3 linked regions of the Bombyx mori genome follow. The main gene of each other region encodes a partner of the protein of the gene in region 2 in a complex. Links are inferred from orthologs where the notes say so. Each region holds a gene or a part of one and is shown on either strand. Other genes may lie near its edges.

Region 1 (4,993 bases), on a different chromosome or scaffold from region 2:
CCTAAAGTATAAGACGTCCTATGCATTTGCATGTAGTGATGCATCAGTGTTTCAGGTACCAATTTTTTCAATGAAATACGTACTCAACAAATATTCACGATTGACTTCCATGGTGAAGGAATAACATCGTGTAATAAAAATCTGCTTACATTTAGCTGCTTACAAAAATGCTTACATTTAGGGGCCTCTTTACAGCTGATGATACATTATTAGATGATGAATCTCCACAAAGTGAACATAGTTGACCAGGCGCATCCTCTGTATCTATTTTTATCATACCAACACAGCTTCCCACACCACTACAAACAGCTTTCAACCAATTCTTCAGGTCATCATTTGTAAGCTCTGAAGGTACTTTTACTGTATAATTTTTGCTTCCAGATGAGACCTATAACAAAATTAAGTTTTAGTTTACAATGAATACTATAATACTGACCTTAGTTAACTTGTTAGACCTGAAAATTGTAGTTTGTGAACAATAGTTGCAATCTAACCCACAAATCTAGATAGTGGTTCAGTACTATAATTTTATTCACCATATAAGTATGCAAAAATTATTTTCTGTGCCACCTGTAAGCCTTGAATCTATTTCAACATTTCTTTTCATTCCTGTAGGCTCTATAGAGCTGTTAAGGCCTCTAGCTACTTCACTGAAGATTGTAGGTTCAATTACTATCAGGCAAGCATTCCTGTGATAAACAGATTTGCTTGCTCTTGGCTGGGTGCTGTAATAGGTGGTTTTGACTAATAATATTTTAGAAATATTCCAGAAATATTTAGTTTTTATCTATGTTTTTACTGTTATTATGATTTTTTCTGCTTGAATTGCAATGGTGCTATAAGGACATGTAAAGGATTTCTAAAATTTGTGTAATAGTTTAGATGGATTCTCATAAATGAAAAATGTATAATTCGTTCAGGTGTTTACAACACTGAAACATTGTGGTATATATTTTTTTTTATATATTAATATAATAATGTTATATATCAAATCAAATGATGAAATAAAGTTTATTAATGTTTTTAGGTTTCTGAATATTTATTTTTTATCTTGAAGTTTGTTATACCTCTAATGCGATAAAAACAATATAAAATGATTGCTAAAACATCAGGTTGTGACATTTTATTTAGAGAATACACATAGAAAGGGTGAAAGGCTATAAATCAAATAGCAACACTTCTGCATCTTTACATCAAAGCCACTGAAGTTCAATTAAAAACATTGAACTGTTGATGCTTATATCACATAAAATGCACCTTCAATTAACAAAGATAAATGTCGCATATTAAGCAAAATTTAACTTATACCAAACATATATATAGATAATATATATAAATAGCCTTCCACACCTCAATATATGAATTGATGTATGTATTTCATATTTTAAATTTTTAAAACTTGCAAATGAAGAAAACGTTACCTGTACTTTATTATTATTAGAATAGCTACTTGATGCAGTCATTATTGCTCTTGTCAATCTTTGAGGGTCTGGATGTACAATTAATAGTTCCTTAGCAAGAGCTTCAGCAGCACCTGAAGGCCCAGACCCTGAAATTGTACTGGGTAACAAGCTATTTCCACCAGTACAGCTGTTTCGAATACAAAGTCTCACTAGAGGAGCCGGTGTTGATGTAGGTGTTGTAGAGGAGTTTCCAGCACCAGTAGAACCACCTTCTGGCAAAGCAGGATTAGGTATACCAGTAGGTCTAAGTTTAAACCTGAAATGAAATAAAATTACCTAGCATTGAATACTTTACAACTATGAAACTACCACATTGGTCTGTTGGTTAGTAAGTAGCTCTCACTATTACTACTGGGTCTTACATTGATCGGTGGTTAGATCATATATTTCATTATTAAATGTCTAGGTATACTTATTCTTATCCAGTATGGGTCTTTCTCACAAAAGATTAGAAAACTCTAATTCTAGTCATTAAACGTAGACTGTTTAACTTTTCTTTCAACAAGATAATGAGAAAGATCACACACAACAATACCGAACAATGTATTTTCATAATATAAAACAATATTTGTCTAATTACATCTCAATTCAATCAATAATTCTAAGTTTCTCAAAATGTAATAGTTCCAAAATTGTACTAATAGATGTTAATAATGTTACACACCTTGATGGAGTTGTAGCACTTTTGTAGCACTGACCAGGTGGCTGCAAAGGATGACCTGCTCGAGCACACCACCCCACAGGGAATATATCCCTAGAATCATATCTACACCAGTAATCAAATGCTCCTCTCCAACCATCAAATGTAACATGGATTTGGTCATTTTTAACTGCTCCAACTGTTGCACAGCATATCAACTGCGGGTTCTTTTTATCAACTGCTTCCAACTTTTGACCAACAAAAAATAAATTTGATTTGGGAGTAGGTGGCTCATCTTGAAATACTTTAGCAGGAGCCATTTGGGCTCCATTCAAAGTCTTGAGCAAAAACATAGGCCAACTGCTTGCATTCATGCGAAAGCCGAGTGGAGGTTGTAGCATTCCATCATGTTTTTCACAGTGTCCTATGGGGTGTATATCTCCAGCATCAACGAGTCGCCAAAAGTCATTTTTATTATCGCTTCCGTCCAATCTCAGTCTCAACCTTGGACCCAAAACACCAACAACAGTTGCAATGCATGTTGATGTCAGATTACGGGGATCCAATGCTTCGAGCTTCATCCCAACTTTAAAATCATTGATGGGTGGCATTGGTGCTTGTTTAAAACATTCTTGAGGTGCGGGTACACTGTTTGTTTCTTTCATGTATTCAGTCCAGTCAAAAGGTTGGTAAATATCATAAAATGAACCCGTAGAATTGTTGTTAGAATTACTTTCAGTTCCGTTTGCTCCGTTTCCAGACTGTGGTGATGTGGTACGTTTTTCATTTTTCTTCTGATAAATGTTCAAACAATGCGTAGAGCAGAAATTTTTGCTGCTAGAAGGTACATTACCGCGTATAACTGTGTCACAATGTAGACACGCGCCTTTGCTGTACGCCTGTCTGAACTCTGAGAGACATGTTTCGGAGCAAAACTCTTTTTTACCATTTTCCGTCGGTAGAACATATTTTAACGGAGTCTTACTTTCAGCACACCATGTACAAGTACGTTTCGGAGGTCTACCAGGACCACGTATTTTGCCGGGAGCTGGCCCCGACGAGCCGACAGTATTATTCGACATTGTTTTATTGTAACTTTCAACGCATAATTAAACACATTCTCACTTTCTGTCAATGAACTTGAAATTTATTGTATTTTTCGCAATATTTTAATGCTGTAATCACTATTACGACGGAAAAGATACTTAAATAAGCTCAAATATAAACAACGTCAGACAGTAGGTATTTTGGGTAGGTACCTATTTATGACGCGCTTGGAAATTCGAGCGGCCATATTAGTTTTATTAAATTTCGGATACATGATAGAAAGTAACTAGAGATATGTCTTGATTAAAATTAGATAATTTGATTAAATTTTCGAGGGCTGATGTCACAGTAGCAAAACAGAAAGCGGCATGAGACATAATTTTAATAAAAAATTACTTAAATTACCCATGCTTTAAAAATACGGTTAAGTAGTAGCATTTACAGTTTCTTTGCTCAAAATACCAATACAGAAAACACAACAAAAATATATTTAACTTATCACAAATATGGCATATTTTTTTATCAATAAAGTAAGATTGTCTATTAAATGAGATAAATGCTCTGCCGGATGCAGTGAGAAGTGCTTCAACTTTAAAAGAATGGTGTAGGAACATAACTGCATATTGTTTGTTGCTTATAAGCTTTACTTGTAAATATATATATGCGCAATGTAGGCGTGAGGTGATGGTTTGCTTATTAGATGTAACATAATTAATAATTGCGAATTTAATTGTTTTTATGATCGAACAATCACCAAAAGTCGTCGAACAAACGATAATTGATCAAAATTAATTAATCTGAATGATAAAAATAAAGATATCTAGTAAGAGGTGCCAACTTAAGGGTGATCAATTGTTTAAGTAATTATAAATAAATAAAAGACGAACAAACAATTTTTACATTCGAACATTAACGAAGAAACGACGAACAAATAATTATAAATAAAAAAAATCCGAAAATAAAAAAAGGTGGAGCCAAATTCAGTGAGCCGACTGTCAGGGACGCATTCTTGCAGCGATGTAAAATGTACTCTATAGAGTGTAAATTATAGTTGCAATATAATAGCGGACTTTTTGGAGGGAGCGCGAGGAGTGAAGTTGTGTGATTTGTTTTAATTGGCCTATTTAGTGTTTCTTCAGATTTAAATATATAATAATGGTGGTTTATTATCTGTTTAATATCTGTGAAAGTGCACAAATGTGGGAAAATGAAACAAAGCCGCTGGACGTAACTTCTTGGGATCCCCCAAAAAGTCAACTGAAAAAAATCTCAGTAAATGACCACCATTTCATTGAGATTATAGTGTTCTGTGGGCACACTCAAATATATTAAGTGTATATATGGGCACAACAAAGTCAACTTCGGTGTACGGACTTTTTGGCGGGAACGCGAGGAGTGAAGTTGTGTGATTTGTTTTATTTTGTCTCATTAGTGTTTCTTCAGGTTTAAATGTGTAATAACGGTGGTTTATTAACTACTTAGTATCTGTGAAAGTGCACAAATGTGGGAAAATGAAACAAAGATACTGAACGTTACTTCTCGGGATCTTCCAAAAAGTCCACTGTAAAAGTCTCAGTAAATGATCGCCATTTTACTGAGATTATACTTATCATCTCATCCCATATCATCTCATCTCATTTCATTTCATTTCGTTTTCATTTCACTTCATGCCATCTTTCATAATATTTAACTTCTTTTCATCTCATAATATCATTTTCATATAAAAAAGTTACGTATTTTTAAAATTAAAATAAAACTTGACCTACAGGTCTTAGTTACCAGGTCATAAAATCCCATAAAAAAAAACTTCGGTGTACTGTATTATCTATCAATTAACCTTAAA
Region 2 (4,364 bases):
TGAGTGACTTCTAATATACATATATCTTTTTCCTTCTTCTTCTTCTTTGTCGCTTTCTTCATTGCTGAAGGTCGTGTCCCTGAAACTTGACCGTGGCCTGTCTCGTGAACTGTTTCCATCTCGGCCGGTCCTCGGCTTCTCGAATGGCGGTTGCGACTGTATCTTTATATATTATTATATATCTTTATATATATTTTTCCTAATAAATACAAAGTTAGGCGGTTATTGCGGCCGTGAAAGCGTGGGATATTAATGATAGTACCTCTTGATATTTTTCTAAGTAAATACGTACTTAACATGTGCCGGATTCTCTATTAATAAAAACTAGTGGTCCCGCAGTAGTCGAAATTCGACTATAATTAATTGAAATTATAAGTTTGAACATTATTATGGTTATATTGTCAAACACTATTATACTTCTATAATCACAGACTTCGCCAAGACTACACTATAGACAAATAATATTAAAGATAAACAATATTAACCTATTTTCAATTTGACCACAGACTTTAAGCATTAAGTAAAGTTTGACAATAAACAAATATTATGCATGCGTGTGTGTCAAATACATGGCAATGTGTGTAATGTTTTCTTTATAGATTTAATGCATTATTTATAGATTTAATAGATTTATATGCATTATTTTAAAAAATAGTAGCATTGTGCACTCTTTCTCTATATTCTCTATAAGTGTGGGAAACTTCATACTCCTCCGTCCGCGCAATTTTCGTAAAAGGGGGTACAAAGTGTTTGCTTCACGTATTCATATATAGATTGTAAAATACGTTAGTAAATGTTTACGGTTGCCAAAACGGTTTATTTAAATAAATCTTTATACTGTCATGACTTCATGACTGATTTTGAATGCAGTTTTACGACTAGTAAACAAGAAACTCACAACACAGCTTGCTTTCATCCAAATACGTCACGCAGAAAAATTACAAATTATAATTGAATCGATTCATATAATGAGGATAACTTTATTTATGAGAAACAACAGGTCTACACTAACCAAAGATCTGTGTATTCATTGTGCCCATTTAAAAGTACGCACTTTCGTGATTCCTCAGTGTATATAAGTAATTATTGTGAATTATCTAGGGCCACCGCCGCCACCAGACGCGAAGCCGATTTTGTCGAAGAAGGAGATCGTTTCGGTGGCTGACTCAACTCCCTCCTCGGTATCTCCAAGTGTGTCAAACAACTCCACTTCTGTGGCGAGCAGTGCGCAGCAAACGACCCCTATTCTACCGCAGGTTTGTTCTTAGCTTGTAAGTCCTGACGTCTAGAAACGAACAGTGTACGTATTGAGGTCTATGGACAGATTCGACTTTCAAATTGAATAACCAATTCGAAAATATCAAGCTAGATTTCATGGAAATGTCTTTAAATATTAAGAAGTCGAGTTGCCTAATTATTTTTGAGGTTTCTGTGGTTTATTTTTTTGTTAAGGAAACCCATTTATTTTCATTTAAAAAGTGATTATGTAATATATATATACTGATAGATATAGTTGTTTTATACATTTGGAGTCAAAATGTCCTATCATATTGAAGCTCTTTTATTTTGACGATTTCAGTTGATAAATCTTATTCAATACATCTACATCAATACCATGTTTCTTATATACTTAACTAAAATAAGGAAAAACTTTAATACGTGAATGATGTACAGCTGGTGACAACGTCTTCTGTGTCTGCATCCACAATGACTTCGGTGACCACAGCGTCCGTAGCTTCCGGTACATCAACTATGTTCAAGAGCACGCAATGTACTCCGCGTCATATCAGCCAAGCCGCTGCACACGGTAAGACTTGTTTATTGAGTCATTTAGTCATTGCGTCATTTTACTGGTGGTAGGATCTCTTGTGAGTCCGAACGGGTAGGTACCACCACCCCGCCCATTTCTACCGTGAAGCAGTAATGCGTTTCGGTTTGAAGGGTGCCGTTGTAACTATACTGAGACCTTAGAATTTATATCTCAAGGTGAGTGGCGCATTTAAGTTGTAGATGTCTATGGGCTCCAGTAACCACTTAAAACCAGGTAGGTTGTGAGCTCGTCCACGCATCTAAGAAAGAAAAAAAATTTGAACTTATTGAGTAGCAAAACAGGGTCTAAATGTATTGTTCTTGAAATCGTAAACAGTTTGTAGTGCGCGACAGTAAATGTTTTAAGCAACGGCATGCTATACTTAATAGGTAGTTTTGTACACTTAGCCTTGCGCGTTCAATACCAATATGTTTGGTATTCATATTTTTGTACCGGTTTCAGCTTCGGGTGATAGATATTTTCTGAATCCATCTTCTCAAATGGATATTTAAAATAGAAACTTGCATAACACGTTTTGGTCGATGTTAGTATCCTTACACTAAATCTTATGACTTTTGTTGTGGTTACAGACAAAGGGCTCCCCAAAGCTATGGTGAAGCCGAACATACTGACGCACGTGATAGAAGGATATGTCATCCAGGAGGCGGGAGAACCATTCGCGGTATTCTATATTGGTGTTATTAAACAAATTTGACAAAATAACTAGGAACTAGGAACTTACTGGTGGTAGGACCTCTTGTGAGTCCGCGCGGGTGGGTACCACCACCCTGACTATTTCTGCCGTGAAGCAGTAATGCGTTTCGGTTTGAAGGGCGGGGCAGCCGTTGTAACTAAACTTGAGACCTTAGAACCTATATCTCAAGGTGGGTGGCGCATTTGCGTTGTGGAGGTCTATGGGCTCCAGTAACCACTTAACACCAGGTGGGCTGTGAGCTCGTCCACCGACCTAAGCAATAAAAAAGAAAGAACACCGTCGGTCCTATCCGTTTTAATATTTAACGAATAGAGTGACAAACGAATTAAGAATGATTTTAGAACTAGCATTAGCGCTAGAACAGACATATTTAATAAAATAATATTGTCAAATTTAAGTTTAAATAAGTAACGGAGTGTCTTACATATCAATGATAATAAATTTTAAAAACAACTTCTAAATTAGTAATATCATGTAAAATTTCAGGTGAACCGACCTCTACGCGAATGGGCTGACAAAGAAGACAAAGAAAACAAACTGCCCAGTTCGGACGAGCCTCCACGTTAGTTGAATACACGTTTAACATACTCGCTTTTTTTTTTCTTACCTATGCTGATAGGCGAGGCTATATCAGCTTCACCCTAACGTGTGTAGGTGAGCTCTCCCGGGGCTCAAACCGGAGTGTTGCTAGCACTGGCCCTAGCAAGAGCCGTGCTTCGCAGAATCTACCACCGGATCGGAAACGCAACCCACTGAGAAGATCCGGCGAGAAACTCAGTGGGCTGCGTCTGTGGGTTAAAATATTCGCACTGCAACAAACACAATGCTACCCCGCTTTAATGCCTATCAGTGGTCGCATTGTGATCACGCACGGCTTTGTATGCAAATTATTCGCATTTCATACGCCAACCACTAATGCTTAATCACACAATAAATACAATGGGGTCTCCATTCCTATCTTTGACATTTCGTTTTTTTTGCATTAAAAGTGTACAATTTCCAAAAATATTCGAAATTGAATTAAAATGCGAAATCAATTGGTATTTTTCTCATAAATACTGTCAAAAGAGCGTAGTTTCGTTTTTTTTTTCCTGTATTTTGACTACTATTAACAAAATTAATACATAATTTTATTTTACTTTCAAAGACAGATGATGTAACTAATAAAAAATAAATGTTGCAAAAATGATTAATATTAAAAAATTACCACATTTTTTAAACCTTTAAAACACTCTCCTGTAAAATTAGTAAGTTTTGAGATTATACAGTTTTAACGCGAGAAGACGATTTGTTCTATGTTCCACGCAAGTAGCATTGACAAAATGATTTTTTTTGAAGTGAAAACTTCTTTAGAATCGTTGTGATTTCAAACCGGATGCAACGGAAAAAACGACAGGTAAGAGACACAAATACAAAAATGTGTAGGATGAAGCCAGCAAAGAATGAGACAGAAATATACATACTATTTAATACAGCGCCATCTGTGAGATTTTTTAATACTAACGTGTGTATGAAAGCGTTTGTAGTGAATTTTAATTTAGGATTATACGTGAAATTAAAATATCAATTCACAGAAGGCGCTACCTTACAATTATTTACTAATGACAAAATTTTACATATACTTATGACGTTTAGGATAATTGTATTTTAATTTTGGAAGGTTTCACTTCTACCACGTGTGAATTGCACACATTATTTTTTTTTGATACAGGTAAAAAGCAGATGCTGGAAGGCGGCGCCAGTTTGCCCCGTATAAGTTCTAGTAACGATAACCACGTCAGCGAATCTTCAACACAAAACGCCAATGTGAAGGCCGAGGCCTCATCTAACGTTGAGATG
Region 3 (5,066 bases), on a different chromosome or scaffold from region 2:
GAGAAAATTAGCGGCGTTTTCAAAACTCAAAGCATAAAAAATGGCGACCGTTAAGCTTACGTTATTTCATGCGGAAAGAGATACTATCTGGAGCATTATTGCGACCTCTTACCAAATATCCAAGTGCCACCGCAAAAGACATTTTAATTACATTTGAAAGTAAATTAATTAAATACACCACTAATATTAAATATAAAAAATTAAATTATATTTTTTTTCAATATAAATCGATTTAAACAATAATTAATTAAGTTTATTTTCAAGGCTTACAGATTACTAGGCTGCACTAAAAGTATCGGGAATGGAATATTTCCACTGTTCCTGTCATATTAAAATCTTTTTAATTGAAAACTCCTTGGTTTTAAAAATCGAATACCATTTATTTATTTAAAAAAAGATTCTCGGTCTTGTCACGAGGTTTTGTCAAACTTGTTTAGTCGTTGAGAAAATGGAATTGACTCGAGAAAATTCAAGAGCGATGATTTATTATGACTTTCGAAGTGGTTTAACACAAAAACAGTGTGTTGACCGGATGATTTCTGCATTTGGTGATGAAACCCCATCCAAAACCACAATTTATCGCTGGTTTGCTGAGTTTCAACGTGGACGTGTCAAACTCAGTGATGATCCCCGTCAAGGTCGTCCAAAAACTGCAGTCACCCAAGAAAACGTTGATGCTGTGCGTAAGCTGATTGAGGAAGATCGACATGTGACATACCGCGAAATTCAGGCAACTTTAGACATTGGCATGAGTCAAATACAAATAATCTTGCATGAACAATTAGGTGTAAAAAAGTTGTTTTCACGATGGATACTGCATTCGCTCTGTGAAGAGCAAAAAGCGGCTCGCGTTACTTGGTGCGTCAGAACTCTCGAAAGATTCCACGCAGGATCCTCAAATGCTGTATACAACATTGTATCAGGTGACGAATCCTGGATATACGCGTACGAACCCGAAACAAAAAACCAGTCACGAGTTTGGGTGTTCGCAAATGAGTTAAAGCCAACAAAAATTGTTCGTTCACGGAGTGTTGCAAAAAAAATGGTGGCCACGTTTGTCTCCAAAACCGGCCATGTTACGACTATTCCTCTTGAGGGACAAAGAACGGTTAATGCAGAATGGTATGCTAGCATTTGTTTGCCACAGGTCGTTTCTGAACTCCGTAAAGAGAACTGCAACCGCCGCATCATCCTCCATCACGACAATGCGAGTTCTCACACCGCGCAGAAAACAAAAGAGTTTTTAGAGCAAGAAAACATAGAATTATTGGACCATCCGCCGTACAACCCCGACCTAAGCCCTAATGATTTCTATACTTTCCCTAAAATAAAGAATAAATTGCGTGGACAGAGATTTTCATCACCTGAAGAAGCTGTGGACGCCTACAAAACGGCCATTTTGGAGACCCCAACTTCGGAATGGAATGGTTGCTTCAATGATTGGTTTCATCGTATGGAAAAATGTGTCAAATTTCACGGAGAATACTTCGAAAAGCAATAAATACAATTTTAAATAGTAATGTTGTGTCACTTCGTTAATTCCCGAAATTTTCAGTGCCGCCCTCGTATAACCTAACCTCTTAAATCTTTTTGTTAACTCACCCTTTGTATTATTTATCTCCACGCTCAAAACGCTCTTTAATCCATTCCACTTGAGTTTATGACAGTAACGCTCACAAGCAAGTGGAACGGGAAAAATTGCGGTCGTGAGTGTGTTCGTTGAGAACGCTTAGTGGAACGCACCCTATAAGATTAAATTTAGCAAAAAATGTTGAAAGAGCCTTGTAAACTTATTTTGCAATTATTGTCGTATTTATAATACGAAATTGGTTGCACTATTTTTTTACTATGGGTCATTCTGACACGTTTAACCGAATGAATTATATAGTTTAGCCTAGTTTAGTCTGGTCTAGACCTAGCCTGGTCAGGCCTAGCCTGTTCTGGTCTAGTCTAGTCCGAGCTTGTCTAGTCTAGTCTCGCCTTACTTATATCTTCAAATCTCGTTTCGTCTACTTTTAGTTTACCTTACATTAATAAGCTTGGCTTCAGCTTTTGTAATAAGTCTTGGTAGTATGGGCTGTATTGTCTTTGCCTGTCTATTAGATCAATCAAACAAATAACATGAAGTGTGCTTTTGTTTTGAATTTTAGGTTATAAAATTTTAAACAATATTTAACGCTACCTAGTTTAATAGATTTGATTGAACATATCCGAAAATGGTGAAAAAGAAAATTGATAATCGTATCAGGGTTATGATAGAGAATGGAGTTAAACTTGGCCATCGCACCATGTTTCTTCTCATTGGAGACAAAAGCAGAGATCAGGTAAATGAAAAATTCTTCAAATAATAAAATAAGCATGGTGATAAAATTAAAGACTTCATGTTAAGCAGATACAAGTACACAGTATACAAGTACCTATGTACTTTTCCTGTCTTTAAAACTTAAGTATCTAAAAACAATACAATTGTAATACATATCTACATTGATATTTGAATATTGGCTTTATATTTATGAAAATGTACGGTATTAAAATTTGTGATGCACATATTATATTTCTAAATGTAACTAATTTTTCTGTGAGAAAAAAACATTTCTATCATTAAAATTTCTCAGACACCACAACAATTATTCCTGCCTGAGCTTCGATCAACTGAGATATCAAGTTGCAATCAGAACAATTGGTACATTAGCTATCTATATCCAGCAAGACGTGTCACGCAAATCGCATTTTAAATCAATTTAACAAAAAATCTTAAAAAAACTTATTTCAGGTGCCCATTTTATATGATATGTTAGTCAAATCGACAGTAAAGGCTAGGCCAACAGTACTCTGGTGCTATAAGAACAAAGATGAAGCAATTAGCAAGTAAGTAACAATTTTTAGACAATTGTATTGTAACAATAGTTAACTACCCAAAACAATACATGATTTCATACTTTAAGAATATTGATTATAAATGAATTCCTTTTAGTCATGGTCGTAAAAGAGCCAAGAAAATAGCAGCTGGAAAACTGGAAGTCTCCGAAGAATCACTGTTTGATGCATTCAGAGTGGCCACTACTATTCACGGTAGATATTATTCAGAAAGTCATGCAATGCTCGGTCAGACATATGGAGTTTGCGTTTTGCAAGTAAGTTACAAATTAAAAAGACATGTTTTGAAAGGTATGCCATATAAAGCTACACCAAAAACTAGAGTGGCTCATGTAAAATTTGGTTATTGGCTACCATCCAGTAACTACATTTTTTCATGGTAAAATGCAAACAGTAAAAAAACTTTCAATTTTTAAATTAAATTTTAATTTTTTACTGGTGGTAGGACCTCTTGTGAGTCCGCGCAGGTAGGTACCACCACCCTGCCTATTTCTGCCATGAAGCAGTAATGCATTTCGGTTTGAAGGTTGGGGCAACTGTTGTAACTATACTTGAGACCTTAGAACTTATATCTCAAGGTGGGTGGCGCATTTACGCTGTAGATGTTTATGGGCTCCAGTAACCACTTGACACCAGGTGGGCTGTGAGCTCGTCCATCCATCTAAGCAATATAAAAAGACAAAAACCAATGATGATCTGACATGAGGTCAAATTTTTGGTTTAATGTATATGACGTTTATTTTTAGGATTTTGAAGCTCTCACCCCCAATTTGATGGCACGAACAATTGAAACTGTAGAAGGGGGTGGTCTTATAATATTCTTACTTAAAACCATGGATTCTCTGAGACAACTACATTCAATAACAATGGATGTACACTCAAGGTATTATTCTGTTCTTAATCACTACATAGTATAAAACAAAGTCGCTTTCTCTGTCCCTATATCTGTCTGTCCATACATAGGGGCAAAATTGTAATTAGGTACTAGTGATGGTGGTAGGGCGTTTTGTGAGTACCTTATATAAGAAACTAAATACATATCTATACTATCTATAATAATATTATATAATCACTACACAGTATAAAACAAATCGCTTTCTCTGTCCCTATATCCCTATGTATGCTTAAATCTTTAAAACAACGCAACGGATTTTGATGCGGTATTTTTTAATAGATAGAGTGATTGAAGAGGAAGGTTTATATTTATAATAATATCCATTAAATAGTGGAGAAATCAATAATAAATTACAGTTTCCGAAGCGAGGCGAGGGCGGGTCTCTAGTTTCTAATACAATACTGTAATGAAAAAAATAACTTTTAAATAAAGTATGTTGTGCCATTTGTATTATTATTATTTATATACACGAATTGACAAGCTCTCTTGAAGAGTTGCTCTACAATAATTGATCCCAATTAAAATGCAAATTGCCCTACTACATTTAAATACCATATCATTATAATCTCATGAGAACAGTATAAACGTCCAGTGACAACTACAATTTTAGTTAATTTAATATTTTCACAATAAATTTTATAATACTTTTAAGAGAAATAAAATAAAATTTATATTTAATTTACAGATTCAAAACTGAAGCTTATGACACAGTGGTCAATCGTTTCAATGAAAGATTTCTATTGTCTCTAGCAGATAACCCTAGATGTTTGGTACTTGATGATTCACTGACGGTTCTGCCGATATCATCCAAAACCGCCCAAATCGACCCTGTAGATGCTACACCAGAGGTAACAAATAGATTTTTGAAATTTTAATAGTAATTTATATATTATTTTGATGAATACAATGGAGGCCAACAAAATGGTTATGAATTTTGAGAGATAAAATTATAAAATTTATATATGTAATGCAAATTTCATTTCGATCGGCTCATTGTAATTTGGTTGGTGACTCTGACTACAATACCACAAACACTATGTCTGTGTTAGATTTCAGTTCAGAGTCAATATCATAATGAAAGATATTTGGTATTTGGGGACTGAGTGTCCCATTAAATAAAATAAAATATAATTACGTCAATGTAAAAAAAAATACTAGACAGAGAAAACATTTGTAGAATATATCATTTTGCTTTTTGATTATTTTTAAACACAGCCCTTTAGGCCAATCTCAATTCACAAAGTCCTCTTGCAGCAGTTTTCACTCCACTTTATTATTTGCTATTTCGAATAGT

The links.
Region 1: the proteins of PH (region 2) and SCM are in contact, whole or in part, in a crystal structure (PDB 1PK1), measured with the Drosophila melanogaster proteins. The link is inferred for Bombyx mori from reciprocal best matches to the Drosophila melanogaster genes ph-p and Scm. Residues at the interface, in NP_476871.2 of Drosophila melanogaster: Gln1537, Gln1538, Glu1539, Ile1540, Asp1541, Gln1543, Ala1544, Leu1547, Leu1548, His1552, Ala1556, Met1557; in NP_001247006.1 of Drosophila melanogaster: Asp819, Ser821, His825, Met848, Lys854, Leu855, Gly856, Pro857, Leu859, Lys860, Asn863.
Region 3: PH (region 2) and RNA cytidine acetyltransferase share a complex: the UniProt entries of both Drosophila melanogaster proteins name them as parts of the PRC1 complex. The link is inferred for Bombyx mori from reciprocal best matches to the Drosophila melanogaster genes ph-p and l(1)G0020.

Annotation. Positions count from the first base shown.
Region 1 is NC_085129.1:7,205,934-7,210,926, reverse strand, and holds the start of SCM (sex combs on midleg), read right to left. Parts: upstream 3,186-4,993; coding exon 2,128-3,185; intron 1,720-2,127; coding exon 1,422-1,719; intron 389-1,421; coding exon 176-388; intron 1-175. UniProt on the Drosophila melanogaster protein: Polycomb group (PcG) protein. PcG proteins act by forming multiprotein complexes, which are required to maintain the transcriptionally repressive state of homeotic genes throughout development.
Region 2 is NC_085107.1:11,344,710-11,349,073, reverse strand, and holds part of PH (polyhomeotic), read left to right. Parts: intron 1-1,101; coding exon 1,102-1,256; intron 1,257-1,674; coding exon 1,675-1,807; intron 1,808-2,400; coding exon 2,401-2,492; intron 2,493-3,011; coding exon 3,012-3,087; intron 3,088-4,236; coding exon 4,237-4,364. UniProt on the Drosophila melanogaster protein: Polycomb group (PcG) protein. PcG proteins act by forming multiprotein complexes, which are required to maintain the transcriptionally repressive state of homeotic genes throughout development.
Region 3 is NC_085120.1:8,061,055-8,066,120, reverse strand, and holds the start of RNA cytidine acetyltransferase, read left to right. Parts: upstream 1-1,881; 5' UTR 1,882-2,216; coding exon 2,217-2,324; intron 2,325-2,773; coding exon 2,774-2,868; intron 2,869-2,974; coding exon 2,975-3,134; intron 3,135-3,623; coding exon 3,624-3,760; intron 3,761-4,457; coding exon 4,458-4,620; intron 4,621-5,066. UniProt on the Drosophila melanogaster protein: RNA cytidine acetyltransferase with specificity toward both 18S rRNA and tRNAs. Catalyzes the formation of N(4)-acetylcytidine (ac4C) in 18S rRNA. Required for early nucleolar cleavages of precursor rRNA at sites A0, A1 and A2 during 18S rRNA synthesis.